4 linked regions of the Schizosaccharomyces pombe genome follow. Changing the gene in region 2 together with the main gene of any one other region gives a genetic interaction. Each region holds a gene or a part of one and is shown on either strand. Other genes may lie near its edges.

What was found.
Region 1: of ctt1 (region 2) and ecl3, extra expression of one rescues a mutant of the other (dosage rescue), as found in Schizosaccharomyces pombe (2 studies listed by BioGRID, with this or other methods).
Region 3: of ctt1 (region 2) and mas5, changing one suppresses a phenotype caused by changing the other (phenotypic suppression), as found in Schizosaccharomyces pombe (one study listed by BioGRID).
Region 4: of ctt1 (region 2) and txl1, changing one suppresses a phenotype caused by changing the other (phenotypic suppression), as found in Schizosaccharomyces pombe (one study listed by BioGRID).

The regions. Positions count from the first base shown.
Region 1 is NC_003423.3:4,440,009-4,444,221, reverse strand, and holds ecl3 (protein Ecl3), read left to right. Parts: upstream 1-2,394; 5' UTR 2,395-2,612; coding exon 2,613-2,882; downstream 2,883-4,213.
Region 2 is NC_003421.2:55,740-61,219, forward strand, and holds ctt1 (catalase), read right to left. Parts: upstream 3,095-5,480; 5' UTR 2,727-3,094; coding exon 1,188-2,726; 3' UTR 915-1,187; downstream 1-914. Other genes in the region: SPOM_SPCC757.06 (uncharacterized protein), read left to right, coding at 1-40, 84-290; cytochrome c oxidase assembly protein Cox14, read right to left, coding at 4,689-4,751, 4,809-4,955. UniProt on the Schizosaccharomyces pombe protein: Catalyzes the degradation of hydrogen peroxide (H(2)O(2)) generated by peroxisomal oxidases to water and oxygen, thereby protecting cells from the toxic effects of hydrogen peroxide.
Region 3 is NC_003423.3:1,078,542-1,084,244, forward strand, and holds mas5 (DNAJ domain-containing protein Mas5), read left to right. Parts: upstream 1-2,833; 5' UTR 2,834-3,177; coding exon 3,178-4,401; 3' UTR 4,402-4,806; downstream 4,807-5,703. Other genes in the region: ipa1 (mRNA processing protein), read right to left, coding at 1-377; alg12 (dolichyl-P-Man:Man(7)GlcNAc(2)-PP-dolichyl-alpha-1,6-mannosyltransferase), read right to left, coding at 5,044-5,540, 5,586-5,703. UniProt on the Schizosaccharomyces pombe protein: Probably involved in mitochondrial protein import. Plays a role in microtubule cytoskeleton organization.
Region 4 is NC_003423.3:765,251-770,101, forward strand, and holds txl1 (thioredoxin-1-like protein Txl1), read right to left. Parts: upstream 2,241-4,851; 5' UTR 2,229-2,240; coding exon 2,005-2,228; intron 1,953-2,004; coding exon 1,304-1,952; 3' UTR 1,102-1,303; downstream 1-1,101. Other genes in the region: ubiquitin C-terminal hydrolase Ubp10, read left to right, coding at 21-1,003; DNA repair ERCC8 family protein ckn1, read left to right, coding at 2,532-2,568, 2,619-2,766, 2,830-2,937, 3,018-3,135, 3,184-3,262, 3,307-4,031; pre4 (proteasome core particle subunit beta 7), read left to right, coding at 4,432-4,851. UniProt on the Schizosaccharomyces pombe protein: Has a role in cellular detoxification of alkyl hydroperoxide.

The sequences.
Region 1 (4,213 bases), on a different chromosome or scaffold from region 2:
AGAAAAGGAAAGCAATGAATGATAAAGTAAGTCTTAATCGCTGCTTTATGCAAATTAATGAAGTCCGAATGCGGTTGCAATTAGAATTAAGAAAACTGAGTACCGGTGGTTTACACACACAGATAATTCAGTATGCAATGGAGCAATATATATAGTAAACTACCAGTTTGTCAGATTGGTGGCTTTGTTATAGAAAAAAAATTAATAATTAAGATCAAAAGCTTTGGTGTTGACGTTCCCTGGCAACCGGCACATTCACCACCTGCTTAATCTTATTTCAAAACAAAATAGCAAAACAGGAAGAAATCGGAAATGCAAAACACTATGTTTATAAGTAAACCGTCCAATTTGCTTTGTAACTGATATGAATCCAATAAGGAAATATAAAAAAATAGTAAAAAAATATTAACAATTAAAATTTTCTATTTCAGGATTAAGGTAACGCGGTGTTAGAAAACTGAGGGAAAGTAATGGGTCAATTTGGTTTAAGATTTGCACTTTAAAGTAAAAGAATTAGCACTAGCGGACAACTGCAAAAACAGACAATTATACTAAAGGGGTATCAGTTCATAAAAAAGTTGCAAAAGTGGTAATACCCTCGTTAGACCCACTCGGAAATCTTAAGTTAATAACGTTGACATTACTAATTGAGACAAAATTGTAGTTAAGAGACAAACTCATACTGCAGAGAACTCAATACGGTATGCATTCAAAATGAAATTTGCGAAAATAAAAATCAGTATGTCATTATACAATACAGAATTGGCCCAAGTAAAACACGGTTTAATCGTCGAGCTGTTTGGTTTTTTCAATTCCATGGAAAGCACGCGATGTCGTTGTTTTAAAACCAGTAATCGGCCGGTTTCAAAAGTATACATTCCAGAATACCACGGATTGATGCTGTGTAGCTCAATGCATGCCCACACACAGAACACCCGGATAAGTTGGTTCCGATATCCTCCAACCCGATAGGATGTTGGGTGATAAGATTTCTTTGACAAAATAGACATCAACAAAGCATGCATGCTTCCACTTCCATTAAACTCGGCGAACGGAAATGCCGCCATCCTACAAAATTCCCCTCACCTCTCCTATTGTCGGTCTTTGAAATTAACAACTACCAGGTACCGAGCAGAATGTTCTGCACGGAATTGACCTGACAACCGGCATCCGCACAAAACAGCCACTTCAGCAATTTCGGTTCCAAGTATGTTCCATTCATGCACGTAAACCGTAGTTTATTTTAGGAACCTCAGTTTACCGAACGCTAAAATTTATTAGGCAGCATATACTGCCGAAGCAAAAAGATGAACGGATACGAGGATTTTACCGCCCGCCACCCTTCAACAAGTGTAATGGATATAAGATGATTTGATAGTATTCGAAAATTTTTGAATTTTCGTGTCGAGTAGCAAATTCCATTGTTTTACATTCTTGCTATCTAATTAAAAGCAACGATGAGTTAATCTTTCGTGCATTATTCTAGTTCGACAAAACGCAGAATAATTTTCAAGAAAAGACCGTGGAAACTAATTAATTATTATAAGGACAGATGTCGATATTAATAAATTTCAATTTCTAACGATTTTCATAGTTTAATTTGTTATGAATTAATTCTATCTCATCCTCTATGACTTATTTCGTTCTATTTCATACTACCAATGCGTTTAAATTAAAATTAAAAATTTGAATAGTTAGGTACTCAGGCTTCTTATATAGCTATTGATGCAGTGTGTGACGTCATTTTTTTAAATTGAAAAAGGGGGTTTTTGACAGGGTAAGATTGTGTACCGTTCGGTATGCAAACTGAACTGGAAGATTGGAAAAATTAAACCCTTTTCTGAAAATAATAGGAATTAAGTTAGGATAGTCGAAACAATTTCTTCCATATAACTATCGTGATCAGTCAAGGGCAGTTTACTAATTTATTTCCAGCGTCGTATATTGCCGAATTCACACGCATTTTACTCACATCGTTCGAAGATAAAAAAAATATAAATAATAAAAATTGAAATTCGTGTAAGCGAAAAGGAATGTGTGAGAAGGATTTTGGACTGTTCTATTCTCATGGGAATGTGAAGTAACTACTCTCTTGCTACCATAGTTGCTTGTTGTGACTTGACATCGTATAAGTGACTGTAAATTAGATGCCGGCTCCATGTCGCACAATAAACCTTTTGAGAGAAAATAAATTATGACATTCCTAAGACTCGGCAATTTTGATTTGTTATTTTTTTTTATTCTCTCAACATTTCCCTAGATTCACAGTCGAGAATGATACGTTGATACACATCCTTTCACGGTAATCTGCAATCCCTGTTTATGGTTTTACATCGTCCTTCGTAATTCTTGTCTTTCTTATATATATATGGAGGAGTGCGTTTGAGATACGCCAGGACTCTAGAGAATTCTTCTCTTTCATTTATCTACGATAAAGTCTTCGTTTCTCCTCTCATTCTTTCACTAGAATAGAGAAAAAGAAGGACAATTGCAAAAGCTCTTTTTATAATTCAATCTTCCTTCTCAATTTTTTTTTCTATTTTCAAGCAAACCAACGGATTTTGACGTTCGTCTTTTCGTTATCTTTCAAAGTTAGCTATTTTAAAGAAAAAATGGATTTAAACTTATGTTTGCTATGTGGTAACTCCATCGATGCCGAAGGATTGTATTGCTCAAATGAATGTCGAATTCAGGATAAAGCTACGACAGAGCTGTTTTCTGATCCCTTGAAGTCGCCTTCTCTCAACGAGACAATAGACTACCTTGCTTTGAATTACTTTGATCTTTTCAGCAGACGATCTTCAATGTGCTCTTCGTCGAATTCCTCAATTTATTCTGGGATATATTATACCGAATTGAAGAATTATAGTGTTGAGAATTAGAAAATTTTTTACCTTTAATGTTTTTTCTACTCTTTGAAGCATTTCTCTTCTATTTGATCGAGCTACATAAATTATCGGTTTTGAGGCTATTGGAAGTTAGTATCAAATAAAATTTGGTATAGTTTGGATTTCCCTAATCATTTTTTCATTTTCGGCTTCATTTGTTTTTTACATTCTCTTTCTTAGTTACTTACCTACAGTTCTTTCGCGTTTCCTCGGATTTTTTTTCTTTTCTTTTATCACCCTCACTAATTGCATTATTTATCTTTAATTTTCTTTTGAAATTAAAAAAAAAAGAGGGTCTACTTTAATTTTTTTTTCTTCAATCCTGAGCTCATTTAGCATCACTTTAGAATGTTTCATAATGATATTAAGGGATATCCATTTAAATATATTACGGAGCTTGTCACTCTACCCTTGAGTCTATCTTAAAAAAATACATTTACAGAATCATTTGTTTACGATAACATTATTGATATTCATTTATACATTTAAAGCTTTTTTTTTTATTAAAAAGCATTTTCTTTATATTAATAGGACTAACGTCAATTTCCTTTCATTTGCATACATTCGGCAATAATGACTAGCAATTAACACCAATGCTAGAACGATCTTTTTTGTTTTATTATAGTGTGCCTAATTTTCTTTATTTTTCGTTATTTGTGGCTGCATTTTTTATTTATTTATTTATTTATTTATTTACATCTTGTCATTTAGTTAAAAATTTAATGAACTATTTTTGTTTAACTAATATTAATTTGTCATTTCATCTTTTCTTTATACATCTTATTTTACTGAATCAGAGTTATTTGAATTAAATAATAATTAATTTCGCTTCTCGTTTTCTATGCACCATACAACTAGTAAAGATTTATTAAAGATTTTTTATATACTAAACTTTTAAAAATGTGTACAAAAAGTGGGACGTGTAGATGTCACTGATTTGGATTTTTTCTGTAAATTAGCTTCGGCAAATTTATTAGAATAAGAACAGTAAAAAAAAAATAAAGATTGGAATGTGCTTAAGATTTTTCTCAAGAAGTGTAAATGCTACGAATTCAATAATTATAATAAATTTGTAAATAATATAAAGAATCACAAATGCAGAATTACCATATCATTGATGTCTACATGAGTTAAGACCTTGGCGAGTTTAATAGTACATGAACATCATAAAAAATTTCAAAAATAAACTTAATATTGCCACAGGATGGAGATTTAGTATCCCATTTGTTTAGTATCCTGCTAGCTCATCCATAACTGGAAAATTAGGAAATAAACAACGAAATACTGTTTATAATCAATGAATATTCAAGGAAAAACAACCAACC
Region 2 (5,480 bases):
GGGTTGTCAATTATTTTACGGAGAATCTTGCTACAAAGAAGTTAGTGTCAAAAACTCTTTAATTAATTTCGGCAAAATCAAAGATGTCAAATGCCCTCAACGGAACTAGTCGTCCCATTTTTTTACTCTCAGTGCCTGCAATTGAGGTAGCACAATTACAAACTCTTGGAGAAATGTCGTTAAAATTTTTAATAAAATTAATTGTAAAGATGACTGATTGCCCACGTCAAAGCTTCAGCTGTAGTGAATTAATTACAGTTTTACCTACTGTTCAGAAATTGACATTTTAGCAACGGCTGTTCTTTAAGGACAAAAAGCTACCTCTTCTGATATTCTTGAAGTTATAAAATGGTATAAACTGCCACCAAATTCACTATGTCGGCTTTCTATGATAATTCCTCTAATTCTTCACAATGATGTTACAAATACGCCTCAAGAAGATTTCTATCATCATCAGCAAAGACGTTATATCTATAAGCCAAGACTGAATTTAAAACTATTTATGAATGCATATAGCGCTAATGATGTCGATGGAGACACTCGAGTTCTCCCAATGTTTTTTAAATAATGACAGGGTTGTTTCGAGTATGATTATTACGAGTAGTTCATGTTAATAGTTATTCGAAAATTTCATTGATAAACCGGCCAAACCTCAACTGGCTTTGAATACTAGAGACTAAAGGAATAATAACACCATGAGTGACAAATTTATTCAATATAATATTTCGGCTTGTTTTACAAAGATACAAATACTGCAAAAAACATAAATCTAATGCACATGACAACTGGCTTTAAAAGTGCTAATTTACTGTTGCTAGCTACATAAGTAATCGAATATCGTGTGTGGCTCATGAATTTGCTTTTAAGCTTTCCTAATTGATTACAAAATTTTAATCTTCCTTTCCTCATCTGGTACAGATATTAAGAAATTTACGGCAGAAGACTTGGAAAACACAATAAGCCTTAGACCTTATTTATATGTTAACCTAATATGTCAAGATTGTTTGCTTTCTTATCAATGTTATGTGCTTATTGAGGTTAAAATATATATTTCCTAATTAACATTTATCAAATTAAATAAATTTCTAACGGCATTACACATGTCTCGCATTCAAAGAATAAAATAGTAGTCATCCGATAAACCTAGCTGACTCAAATTTTTTACAAACTAATTTCGCATAAGCGCATTATGAGCTTCCTTGGAACATATGGGGTTCGCCCTTGTTAATTGGCTTGGGGGCTTTTTCTTCCATCTTCTTCACTTCAGCTTCAGTAGCCTCACGAATACGGCGACCAAGCTCTGAATCAACACGAGTAAATACACCGTATTGGCGTTCACGTACAGGAGATATAGCACCAGACAAGTGACCGGCAACGTTCTTAACAAAGTTATCTTGCTGTCCAGGTTTCTTGCCCAAAACATTTTGCCAAAACGCTCTAGGTTGCTCAAAATCAACGTCGGTAATTTCGTCCATATGGTAAGTAACTTGACCTACCCACTTTTCGTGACCTTCGTCAGGCTCATATTGAACTTTAGCAAGTGGTCGGATTGAGGATGGATAGTTTGGCCAATTTCCTTGGTTTCCATTGACATTCATAGGGCCGTCACGAGAATAGTTAAAGACAGGACACTTAGGAGAATTGACGGGAATTTGCTCGAAATTAGCACCCAAACGATGGCGGTGGGTATCAGGATAGGAAAATGTACGTACTTGCAAAACAGGATCCGCTGAGACTTCAATACCAGGAACCATATGAGAAGGAGAGAACCCAGCCTGCTCGATATCTGCAAAGAAATTGGTAGGATTCTGATTCAAGGTAAAGCGTCCAACCCTTTGCATTGGTACGTCCTTATGAGGCCAGACCTTAGTAAGATCGAAAATGTTGTAGCGATATTTTTCAGCCTCCTGAGGGGTCATAACTTGAACGTAAAGCGTCCAACTGGGGTAATCACCACGTTCAATAGCTTCGAAAAGATCTTGACGAGCATGGTCGGGATTGGATCCATCCAATGCAGCGGCTTCTTCATTTGTTAAACCCTTGGTTCCTTGATTAGTAATGAAATGCCATTTGCAATAGTAGAATTCACCCTTATCATTAACAAATTTGTAGGTATGACTGGAAAAGCCATCCATGAAACGGTAGCTATAAGGGGTACCACCCAAGTCAGAGAAAAGAATCATAACTTGATGGATGGACTCTGCGTTTTGAGAAAGGTAATCCCAAAACATAGTAGCATCCTTCATATCATTTTGAGGGTTACGCTTCTGAGTATGGATGAAGAGAGGGAATTTAGCGGGATCACGAAGGAAGAAGACAGGGGTATTGTTTCCAACCATATCGAAAATACCTTCATCGGTGTAGAACTTTAATGCGAACCCACGAGGATCACGAGCAGTATCAGGAGTACCCCTTTCACCACCGACGGTGGAGAAACGAGCAACCATAGGGGTTTTCTTACCAACCTTAGAAAACATGGTATGTTTGGTATACTTGGTAATGTCGTCGGTGCATTCGAATTCACCAAAAGCACCGGAACCCTTTGCATGGACGACACGTTCAGGAATACGCTCGCGATCAAAGTGTTGAAAGACGTCGATTAAATGGGAATCTTGAAGTAAGACAGGACCTCCCTTACCCACACGAGCCGCAGCCATAGGGTTAAAAATGGGACAACCGGTGTTGGTGGTGTAAACAGGGACGGTATTTGAGTCTTTCGAGTTCATTTCGCTGATGTTTGAATCCTTAGACTGAGAAGATGCAAATCTGTTAAAGAGTAGCTTATTATTGTTAATCTTGGAATTAGTTGAACGACGAGCAAATGATTTTAAACTAGCTTGTCTACCAAGACAGTAACGTTCAAAGATGCGAAAAGCCGACACTTTGAAGAGTTAGGAGGGGAAAAAAAAAGACAGTCAAAAAATTGTGTTTTTTTAAAAAATTAGTGTCGAGTCTTTAACTAAATCACTCAAGACACAACCACAATTTCTATAATTCGATATTCGAACAAGGGAATTACAATCACACACACACAAAGAAGAACTTATAGTATTCTTCTATTCAAAAGCTATTACTTTTACGTGAAAAGCTGTATATTCAAGCAACTTGCAATTGCCTCTATATATATTGTCTGGTGTAGAATTACCAACGTCATATTTGCACAATAGGAAAACTCTTACCAACGCAAATGGCCGAGATTCCATTGGCTTAGTGAGCCAAAGAGCATCATTATTAGCGAAGCTACAATGACAAATTAACTTCTTCTACAGCCTATCGTAGTCGCCAAAATCCACCCTTCAGCCAATGTTTACGATGCGCTCATACCGTTACTTGGCCATATCAAATCTCCCAACACCATCGCTAACGTAAGCGGGCAAATCCCATCGTTAGCGATTAGTAAAACCAGCGTTTCTAGACACAGACGCTGACATGAAATTCTACTGCAAGTCGATATAGAGGAGAAAGATGCTTAATAAAATTAAAAGCTAGACTTTTCAGTCGCAAACTTGTGCTGGACATGCACCCTTTGGAACCAGTGTTTTTGGTAGATTAGCAGAGTATAGTGTGTTTCCTGGGGAAGTAAATAAAACAGATGTATGGTAAAATAGGATATGCAAGCATGTAGATTTTGGCCTGTATTCATGCGGTTTGTTTAGCTTGAAGAATTGATTTCACAAAAGTATGGTTTAATTTCAAATGATGTCGGGTTGATGTGCTAAGATCGGGAAATGGGTGAGTGAGAAAAGGAAGTTATGGTAATTTTATGATCGATTAGTTTGGAAACGTGTTTTATGGGCGCATTGTATATTTCTTAAATTATAAATTTTTTCTATTCTATATTAACTGAACTGAGAAAGTGGATTCATTGTGCACAGCTTCCCGTAGAGGTATAATGTGCACAAATCGGAAGTATGACTAGGAGAGTGAAATAGATAAGGAGGTTACTGAAATTAGAATACTTTCGTCCAATATACTTAGGAGTGCAAGTCTAAGGTCGAAGAAAGGCTGGAAGTGAAACAAGTCCCTTGCTTACAAAAAAAAAAAAATGGGAGATGCAAACAATCTAAGGACCGACAAACCGTAGGTATGGACGGCGTGTAAAGGCAATCCGTAGGAATGTGTGAAATAGAATATGATACGTTTAATAAAAGTCCTTCTTTTCCTCTACATCACAAATTTCAAGCAAAACGAAGTAATAATAATAAGGAATTTTTTCTTTCGTTGGTCTGACTAATTTTTTAGGTTCGATATAAACACTACGATTTCCATGCATGTTTTAATTCAGCGGATGAAGATATAACCCATACGTTGTTGTTTCCCATCGCTCACTCTACATTCGCTTAAATAAACTACTACCATTTGACTCGTCAAACAAAGATTGAAGGTGGTATTCACAAGCTTGTTTTATGTTGAATTCAATTTTTAGTTGGTAAAAGTACTTTAAGCATAAATGCCATTAACTGCTGTTCATGAAAGAGGGGACGTTATAGGTGGCAGAATTAAATTTCACTATATAGAGAACTATAGTGTTTTTTGGTCATCATCAGTAAGTGCAGAAACAGCATCAACTTAGTAAACAAAATAGTTACTTAGATTTCGCTTTATTCTTTATTTCCCTCTCCAAGACTTCACAAAGTCCTCGAAAATTCACGATGCTGATAGCTTCAGCTTTTCAGCACCATTTTTTCTTACTTGAGGGCGAGTTGATTAAATTCATCCTCTGCAAATCCTTCTTCTTTTATCTTTTCTCTCTAGAACGTTTGAAAAATTAGTTACACACGTCCAATTCCCTTAGTTGGAATTCATACCTGTTGAAACTCTTGCAATGCTGCTAAACGCCGTTGCCTATGAGAATAATAAGATTGGCCAAGAAGAACAGTGCCTCCAACAGTGCCGAAAATTAGAATCGATACCGATCCCTTTTGTACAATGTCGTAAATTCGATTTCTGTTCATAACACTGACCTAGTAGTTGTTAGTAGTCGTGTTTGTCAGTTTACCACATTACACAGCCTAATCGCTTCAGTAAACTTACTGAGTTTTCTTTATAATTTAATATGTTGTTAATGATTATTAGCACTGATGGAATGTGCTCTTAAAAGGTCACCTTTAGTGGCAAAGCTCTTTACAGTTGGGTTTTGTAGAAATGAGGCCTTCCCATATTCTACCGGCTTTCCGAGCTGTACCATGACGTTCTTTAAAATGATTAACAGGAGGTTTGAAAGTAGTGCTAAATTACGTTAAAACTCAACATGATTAATTCATTCGTCTAGTCATCACTGCTCGGCTCACTAATATCGTTGGTAAGTAATAAAGCGATAAAGGGATCGAATTATTATTTTAAAAAGTATTCCGGTGGGTGATACTATTCATTCATTATTAGAAATAAATCGCAAGCGTTTGTTGTAAATGAAGGTGTCTCAGTTATTTCCTGGATAATAAAAGTTGAATCTCAAATTTTTTTCATCTCAATACTTAAAA
Region 3 (5,703 bases), on a different chromosome or scaffold from region 2:
ACCGTAGGATAATCTGTATGACAGGACCAGCAATCTAGCATTTCCATCCAATTTGCAGATGGTAGATCTTTCCAAGAAGAGATGCTTGTTAAGAAAGATTGACATTGTTTACATTTAATGGTACTTTTGACAGCATCATCTTTATTTAAATCAATAGCCTTCCAAGGAACCTGTATTTCATCGCTATATGTAACTGGAGGACACGAAATTACCAATTGAATAGTATCCGAGCGTATAATAGGATTAATTGGAGTCGACCTAGAAAGCGTTAAGGGTAAAGGGAATTTTAAGTCAGCGACGCATTTTGGGATGTCTTTTGTTTCTGGATCCAAAAAGACATTTACCCTACCTACATGAACGAGATATTCAGCAAGCATGCAAAGTCTGTATAGATGATTCGCTGCTTATTGATCGAAGAAGAAGCAAAGAGCAAAGGTGAAGAGAAATTGAGACGAATGATATAACGAGAACTAGTGCCAAAAAAGTTAATTATAGCGAAGCACTAACGTATCATTATGTTACGATACATGACTATATACAAAAATTGAGAGGTTTGAAAGTTACTCTCGCTATTCCATCAGAAAGCGTTGCAAAGCAGTGTAATATCATCCAGCGTAGTTTAAACTAGAACCGTATTGTTTACTGAATGCCAGCAATACACTACTCTATGATACACTGTGTTGCGTATTACTATATGGCACATGTTCTAATTATATATCATACTATGTATGATACGACATTGAGATTGATCTTAATGATAATTTATTAAGATCTATATTATCTGAATACTATAAATAGAGCTACTGCTGAACCTCGTTCCTCAGTTCAGTTATGAGCTATATCGGTGACCGATACTAAGAGACTTCTTATAACAATAAATATACGTTATTAGTTAACATACCGCATACCGCTACATTGTAGGTCGCAAGTAAACTCACCACAGTTCTGTGTATCGTTAAATAGATACCAAACTGCGTAGCTGATACTGAATGAGAAGTGTAGTAAATAATAAAAGAGGTTTGTGTCATTTATGAAGGTGTTTTTGAGGAAATAATTATTATAAATAATTGTTGTGTTGCATATAAACAGGATTTAAAGGTAAATAAGGGAAGAAAAAAGCTTAGCCAACTTGAGTTGACCCCATAAAAGAAACATATATTATTTATTTATTCGTTAATGTTTTTTAAACACAAAATGTAAACGATTCATTGATATTGAAGAATGTAATAGTAAGAAAAAAATTAATGAAATATTTAGAAAATACAAATCAATTGCAATCTCGTTATTTTTTTCTTGTGTAATAAAAAAAAAAAATTGTGCAGTGAAAATTAAACAAGTTTATTATGACAGTAGAATAAAACACTTATTAACCATCTATCCTACACAAAATGCATTAATTTCTTTCTTTTTAATTTTAGTCAATTATTTACTTTTGAATTCACTTCACATTCTCATTTACTTTTAGCCTTTTGTTTACTCCTTTACCTCCACATGGTTAGATTTCAGGTCAGTCCCCCACTTGGAGCTTTTTCAATACCATGTGGGAAAATCGATTATGGACTTTTAATCCCACCTGTGTATGCCCCCACATGGAACTTTCTATAACTTTCCATGGAAACCGGGGATGGAGCAATATGTTCAAAGAATAATGCTAGAAAGATTGTATGCTGAATCCCACAAGGTACGTGACCCCCACAAAATAATAAGCATACTTCCTATGGTAATAAAATAATAATATAGAGATTTTGCTACTTTCAAGACTTTGTCCCTTTCATGTAAATACAAATTATTTTTTTCACAAGTGCGTCGTAGTGTTAGGAAATAGAATTGAAGAAACATTAGAAACGTCAACTAAGACTGATGTTTATGAATCTCGTTTCTTTTCAACGTACTGTAGAATGTAGAAGAATGTAAACAAATAGATAAACTACCTTCTACTAAATATTTCATTATCTTCATTATCTTATGTAAAAAACGTGGTGCTAGCTTTCCGTTTGATCCAATATTATACTATACAATTGTTTTTATCTTCAACAGGATTCGATTACTTACGGGGAAAAATTAAGGTTAAATGGAAATGTGAATAAAATCATAATATTACTAAAATCCCTTTGCAACTATTTACAAACATCTTTCTGTTGACTTCTCAGTATTTAAATTGTTTTTCTTTTCATTCATCCATAAAAAACATATACATTCTTTAGTATTCTCTTTTTTTCTTCTCTTCCGTGCATACTAGAGTGTTTGCAACCTTCTTTACGAAAGATTCGCTATCAGTAGTTTTCTACTGTTTTCTTTTTTCCATAAATTTCGCTGGGTGGCTGCAAACAGAGAAATTTTCGTTTCCTTAATAACCTGTAGGGTCCGCCTCCTTCTTTGTGAATTGTAAAGAGGCAAACAATAGAAATTGATCGCCTAAACAAATTAAAACAAAAAAATTTAACTGCCGAAGTGCATTTTTATTCAATTTTTTTTTACGTTTTTCTCTGTTTCCCGGCTTTCGCGATATCGTTTGGCATTTGCATTTTTATTTATTTAGTCTTATTTACTGTACAAATTCAATCCTTTATTTTCCTATTGTTTCAAAGGGGAAAGAAATAAAAGGAAAGGAAATTTCTCATCTCTTGATTTTAACTCGATTTTCTATACTCGCAGTTTGAATCTCTGTGTGATTATTTCTTTTCTTTTGATCATTTTATATATTTTGAGCGAAATTTTTACGATTTTCTTACTCAGCACAACAATTACGATTTAAGGGAAATTTTGTTCTCGTATTTTCCTTTGACAACAACACACCAGCTACAAGAACATAAGAACAACACACTTTTCTTTCAACCATTTCCTACCACTTTTCACATTTTGATAATTTGTGAAAGGAAATTTAATAGAAAAGTATTGAAAAGAAACGATTATTTTGTGTTTCTTTCTAGAAAATTGGTGGATTGCTATTTTAGCGATAAAATTTTTTTTAAACTTATCTGAGAAAGTTTTTAAGGGAAATTTTTTTACTTTTTCCTCTTTTCTCACGAATTTGACTTATTGTTGAATCTTTGCTTTATTATAGACTCCATTAAAGTCTCCTCTAATATTTTATCTTCTTAATATTCCAATTTCTTTTTTATTTACCCCCTTTCTTCCACTGTCGTTTTTGTTCTCCTTACATATATTACAAGCATAATGGTGAAAGAAACTAAACTATACGAAGTCTTGAACGTTGATGTCACTGCTTCTCAAGCTGAATTGAAGAAAGCTTACCGCAAGCTTGCTTTAAAATATCATCCCGACAAAAACCCTAATGCCGGCGATAAGTTTAAGGAAATTAGCCGTGCTTATGAAATTCTTGCTGATGAAGAGAAACGTGCTACTTATGATCGTTTTGGTGAAGAAGGTTTACAAGGTGGTGGTGCCGATGGTGGTATGTCTGCTGATGACTTGTTTGCTTCCTTTTTTGGTGGTGGAATGTTTGGTGGTGGTATGCCCCGTGGTCCTCGCAAGGGCAAGGATCTTGTTCATACCATCAAGGTTACTTTGGAGGACCTCTATCGTGGTAAGACTACAAAGCTTGCTTTGCAAAAGAAGGTCATTTGCCCCAAGTGTAGCGGTCGTGGTGGCAAGGAAGGCTCTGTCAAATCTTGTGCCTCTTGTAATGGTAGCGGTGTCAAATTCATTACTCGTGCCATGGGTCCAATGATACAACGTATGCAAATGACCTGTCCTGATTGTAATGGTGCAGGTGAAACCATCCGCGATGAAGACCGTTGCAAAGAATGTGATGGTGCCAAGGTCATTTCTCAACGTAAAATCCTTACCGTACATGTTGAGAAGGGTATGCACAATGGTCAGAAGATTGTATTTAAGGAAGAAGGCGAGCAAGCTCCTGGAATCATTCCCGGTGATGTAATCTTTGTCATTGATCAAAAGGAACATCCTCGTTTCAAGCGCAGTGGTGATCATTTGTTTTATGAGGCTCATGTCGATTTACTCACTGCTTTGGCTGGTGGTCAAATTGTCGTCGAGCACCTGGACGACCGTTGGCTTACTATCCCCATCATCCCCGGAGAGTGCATTCGTCCCAATGAACTCAAAGTTCTTCCTGGTCAAGGTATGCTTTCTCAACGCCATCATCAACCTGGAAACCTTTACATTCGCTTCCATGTCGACTTTCCTGAACCCAACTTCGCTACCCCAGAACAGCTTGCATTGCTTGAAAAGGCTTTACCTCCCCGTAAGATTGAGAGCGCTCCCAAAAATGCTCACACTGAGGAATGTGTTTTGGCAACTGTCGATCCTACTGAGAAGGTTCGCATTGACAATAACGTGGACCCCACTACTGCCACTTCGATGGATGAAGATGAAGATGAAGAAGGTGGACACCCCGGTGTTCAATGTGCTCAACAGTAAACCTGTCTTATTCTGAATTTCTTTTCATTCATTTTTTCAAAATTGACAGCATTTGGATTCGTTATCCTTTTAAGAAGAGCCTAGACAATTATTTGTTTTCAGATGTTCCTAATCTTTTCCTTAGGTTTCGAGTTGCTATTGCATGTATACCTTATTCTCTTGTTCCTTTTTTTCATCCTGTAAACTCATTCCCCTCATTTGGTGTTAGTTTTCTTTTATCTCATAAAGATGTTTGATATCTAGCTTCGGCATATCTAACATACTTGCCTTTGATAGTTATTCTCTCGGTTCTTATCTTGGTCTTTATACTTCGTTAATACGCTGCTTCAATAAATATAATGACTGCAAAAAGTCGATTTATAAATATGAATACATAAATTAGATCTTGCTTGCTTTGTTTGTAAAATTTTAGTATTTGTGAGACAATTACAATTACGGCTTTTGGAAAAAGTAGTAAATAATTTTTGATGCGCTTCTGCACTTTGAATTGTCTGCGAACTAAAATTATGTTTATTCACTCTACTTATCGTTGCAATACAATTCAAGTGGGGGATGCTACTAAATTGTAACTGTAAATACAAAATCGTAAAACTTGAAGAATATACCTTGAAAAAATTTTACTCTCGTTTTCTTACTAAACTATCATCCCTGGGTGATATGCGTTAGAATCCGATCTTTGTCAATAAAAAAGTTCAGACGGTCTTCCCGGTAATCTCTTGTCAACAATGTGTCAGGAGATACCACCCTATAAATAGGAGGCCAAAGTTTAATCTCGTCAACTTTATGTCCGATGAATGAAGAGTAGTCATCAACTGCGGCAGGTTTAGTTGCTCGTGCTTTTTTGTTTGCCAAGATGTAAACGGGCTGTGCTGGATTTCTTATGGAGATTTCTCGCGGTATGTGATTACTTAACCATTTTGGAAGGATGGGAATTTTCGTGTTGGAATTAACGGATTCTATAACATCAAAAGTATCATTATATGATTCGGGATCTTCGGTGATTAAATAGTCGAATTGGGAAATAAATAAAGAATTTGAAAGCATTTTAGGATCCTCAGTTTTGTCATAGTACCACGATGGAAGCTGTGAAAATCGAGTTATACCTGTCATACACGGATATACATCCATGTGTACAGAAACTAAGTACGTTAGAATAATCTAATTGGTGAAAAAGTTGAACTTACCTTGGGGATGATTTTCAATTTCATATAAACGAGTTAATGCTAGACCACCAGGGTAAGCGTATTGAAAAACATATAACAAAAAACTGCTTCCAATAAACCCGAAGATTATCCCCGAAAA
Region 4 (4,851 bases), on a different chromosome or scaffold from region 2:
TTAAGTTCTAACACTTGTAGGTTTTGTTGGCATGAACAATATAAAAAATAACGATTACTTTAATGTGGTGATTCATATGTTGGCCCATGTTAAGCCATTTCGAAATTATTTTTTGCTTAAAAACTTTGATAATTGCCCTCAACTTGTCCAAAGATTGGCAATCCTTATTCGTAAACTTTGGAACCATAAAGCATTCAAGAGCCATGTCTCTCCTCAAGAACTCATTCAGGAGGTTACAGTTCTTTCTCACAAAAAATATTCTATTAATGAACAAAAAGATCCAGTAGAATTCCTTTCCTGGTTTTTAAATACTTTACACAATTGCCTTGGTGGAAAAAAGTCGACCATAGCAAAACCTACTTCTATTGTACATTACAGCTTTCAAGGATTTGTACGTATTGAATCACAGAAAATTCGCCAACATGCTGAAAAGGGAGAGCAAGTTGTGTTTACTGGTGATAGGGTTATACAAACTAACGTCGTCCCTTTTCTTTACCTTACTCTTGATTTACCTCCGAAACCCATATTCCAAGATGAGTTTGAAGGTAATATCATCCCACAAGTAGAATTAAAAGAGATACTTAACAAATATAATGGGGTACATACCCAAGAACTTGCAGGTATGCGACGGCGTTTTCATTTAATGACGGCTCCTCCATACTTTATATTTCACATCAAAAGATTTATGAAAAACAATTACTTTACGGAAAGAAACCAAACTATAGTGACATTTCCTTTGGATGATTTTGATATGAGCCCATTTATTGATGACTCATTTATCCAGTCAAATCCGAAAATCTCTACGAAATACAACCTCGTTGCTAATATTATACATGAGTCCGTGACACATGCTGAAGAAGAATTTCATAACTTCCGAATTCAAATTCGAAACCCCTCTACCAATAAATGGTATCAAATTCAAGACTTATATGTTGAAGAAATCAGTAGCGATATGATTCGTTTAGGCGAAAGTTTTATTCAGCTTTGGGAAAGGTCATCATAGTGTTAATATGTGGAATTTTTGGATTTCTCACAAAATTTCCTCTACGTGAGACAAAATTAAAAAACATTCATTTTATTTATCAAACGTTACCGCTTAGAAAATCTTTATTCTATATAAATTAGATTATCCATTTATATTCCCATTTCGTGAGTAGTCAGCAATTACAATGCTCAAATGAAAGGTTTGTAGTATTCTTTGGTATCAAGACACCAGATTGGTCGAGTAATGTATACGAAACTAGATTTTCATAAAGGTAAATTCGTAAACCGTCATGATTTTAGTTAACAAATTGTTAAGCACCTAAGCTTCGACCTTTTGTAGTTTTCCTTTACTTGAATCACCAACAGGCTCACCAAATAATTCTAAGCGAGAAATCTTAGTAGTTTCTTCTTCTCCGACATTCGAATAAATAAAAATAACGAGAGAATTGACACGTTGAAATTTAACAAAACGAAGGGGAATAATTGTAGGTTGATCGTCTTGTTCGTAAACTATATCCTCAATGACTTGAGTTGGAGTAAATGACTCAGCATCTTCAAAAGAAAGATTGTTGGGCTGATTGATGTACAATTTGATGGTTTTTGGAGCACTCGAAGTTTCTCCCTTAACAGGAGTAATTGCAATAGAATGAACCTTTACCACTTCAAGAAAAGGTATGTATATCATTAATTGCTCGTCAACATCCGACTCTAAAAATGAGGAAGGATTACTGTTAAATGCACTTTTCAAATCGTGATCATCTTGTTGATTTAGACATTCCAATTGGGGATTTTCAATGCAGCCTTGCAAGCTAGCAAAACCCTTGACAGGTGCCGATGACGAAGAAGCAAGAGCGCCAGTTCCTGTGGCTTTTGAGGAAATCAAAGCAACTTTTTCCTTCAAAGCTTGTGGGTTTGCTCCAGTTAGCATATCAATTTGTTTGCCATTTTCAAAGAAAACAAATGTAGGCCTAAAATGTTAGCAAAACCAATGGTACAGTGACGGATTAGGTAAACACATACATTGCTTTGACGCCAAGCCCGGAGGCAATTTGACGTTGCTCGTCTACATTTACTTTAGCAAAAACGAATTTGGGGCTAGCATATTTCGATGCTAATTGTGAAAATAAGGGAGAAATTGCTTTGCAAGGACCACACCAATCGGCATAGCAATCAACTGCAAGATATCCGGACTTAGGGATCGTTGAGATCCAGTGCTGGTACGATCTAATTTCAATAACTGACATATGGTTGAGGTTGAGTTCTATAAACCGTCTGCCAATACCATCTCGTACACCACGACCGTTATTAGTAGTGCGTCTAGCCAACGTCGAAAAACATATTTTTTTATTATTGTTTCCTGGAAACTACCTTTGAGTTTGCTATTTAAACATAGAAGTTGATTAATTGACAGTATTATTTACCGCTCATATTAAACTAGCTGTAATTTTATTTAGACTTAATTTGTTATACATGGTTTAAAAACCGGGTTGTTTTAAGCTGTCAGTTGCTTACTGTAGCATCTGAGTCTATTTCTTAGGTGAAATCGAATGAATTCTTTTTTATTGGCACGAGAATGGGGCCAAGGTAATGCAATTGATTATGTGATATAAGGATTTCAAGTCTCACATTTGTAGAGCCAAATAGCTCTTTTCGAAGGCAACTACTGCAGCATCGTCTTCAACGGTTAGCGCTGAATCCGGATGTGAAAATTAAACGTAGACACGGTGCGGGCATTTTAGGATCCGTAAATGCACTAAGCATTGATAATACAATTCATCAGCTGTATGACCTATATCGTTGATTTATCAAAGCTTTCAATTTTTGGTTAACAATTTCTATTGACAGCATGGTCTCTGGAGGAGCCAACTCGTCTATCAATGTTTGGGACCTACAAAATATTGACCAAAAGGAAGATGAAGATTTAATTTTGGATACCTTAAATGCAGTTCCTGCGTAAGCATTCATTTTCTACCTAGTTTATGACAATTTCAATATATACACTAGTGATCAATAGCTAACTTGCGGTGTTTTAGTCGAACGAGTCATAAGTTTGGAATAACAGATTTGCATTGGTTTCCGTTTGATAATGGTATTTTTACTAGCTCGTCGTTCGATCATACGCTCAAGGTTTGGGATGTTTCTACTTTACAGGTAATAAAAGTAGAAATCGCAAATTAACCAATGTTCTAATATTGGTAGGAAGCTTACACTTTTACTATGGAGGACATGATTTATTCACATGCATGGTCGCCCATTGCATCACATTGTTTAATTGCCAGTACGTTATATTCTTCATTCTTGAGATTGTTCATCTAACGATAGCCGCCTACCGGTCTTCGTCTATTCGGCTTTGTGATATGCAAAGTGGTAGTTATACTCATAGTTTGTCTGGACACACGGGTAATGTCCTTGCGGTGGATTGGTGTCCTAAGAATGAATTCGTGTTAGCGTCCGGCTCTGCAGATGGCACTTGCAGACTTTGGGACATTCGTAAAGTATCATCCAGCTTCGCATGTATGGATCTACATAATAAGTATTTACCCAGTAACCAGACAAATATATCTCATTACGGCACCGTTAATGGATTAGCTTGGACTTCAGATGCTCGATATTTGGCAAGTTGTGGTACCGACGATCGAATAAGAGTATGGAATATGGAAAGTGGAAGAAACACATTGAGAGAATTTGGACCTATTATTCATAACCAGACTACTTCCTTCGCGGTACATCCTTGCATGATCCAACCCTCTATGGATTCAGATGTTTTTGTGTTATTCCCCAACGATGATGGGTCTCTTGCCTTATTGAACTTGTTAGAAGGCTCGTTTGTGCGCCGACTTTCAACCCACAGTTTAAAACGTATTAATTGTGCTGCCTATCGTCCTGACTTTGAACAGTGTTTTACTGGTGATATGAATGGGAACATTTACATGTGGTCTCCTAAAGCTCTAAAATCGCCTACGAAGATTTCGGATTTAGAAACAAGACGAAACATAATTCAAGAAGTATACGACTCTTTAATTAATATTCCAGTGACTTATCAATAATTGCTAAGCTTATGTTTCATTTTAACTAAACTTTGACCAACGGAGTTTAGACTTGAGCCATTCCATTGAATATTGCACAATTTTTAGGAAGATAAAGTTTTCTATATTTTATTTATTAGTTTAACTCTACATCATAGTTTGATCCCATAAAGTGACTTTGTCTGTACTTTTTCTTATCAAACATAGGTTGCTTCAGTTTATCATTAAAAGTTAATGTATCTAGAATAAATCTAGAATAGCAAATATAAAACTTTTGAAAGCTATTAATAAGCAACCTTCTCAAAATTACTACAAACTTTTCAAACACTGTCTTCGTAATAGGTGCATGGTGGTTATGTGTTATAAAGCGACATCAACCTCGAAAACTTAGTAAGAACCACACAGTTTTAATTTGCAAAAAATGAGTTTTTTAGAATTAACAGAGGTTTGGGGAAAGCCTCAAAAAGACATTTTTTTTCCTAGTGGCTCGGAAGTTGAAGAATCAACCGATGCACCAATTCAACGCACTGTTCAACCGATAGTAACTGGATCATCAGTCCTTGCTTTGAAGTTTGCAGACGGTGTAATGATTGCTGCTGATAACCTGGCATCCTATGGATCATTAGCGCGCTTTTATGATGTTGAACGGTTGACAAAAGTAGGTGATAATACGATTGTTGGCGCCGGTGGGGATATTTCGGATTATCAACAAATCCAGCGCCTATTAGAAAAATTAGAAATAAAAGAAGGAAATTATGGTGACGGCTATGCCTTACAACCTTCGTATATTCATGAATACTTGTCGAAGGTGTTGTACGCTCGCAGAAACAAACTTGACCCA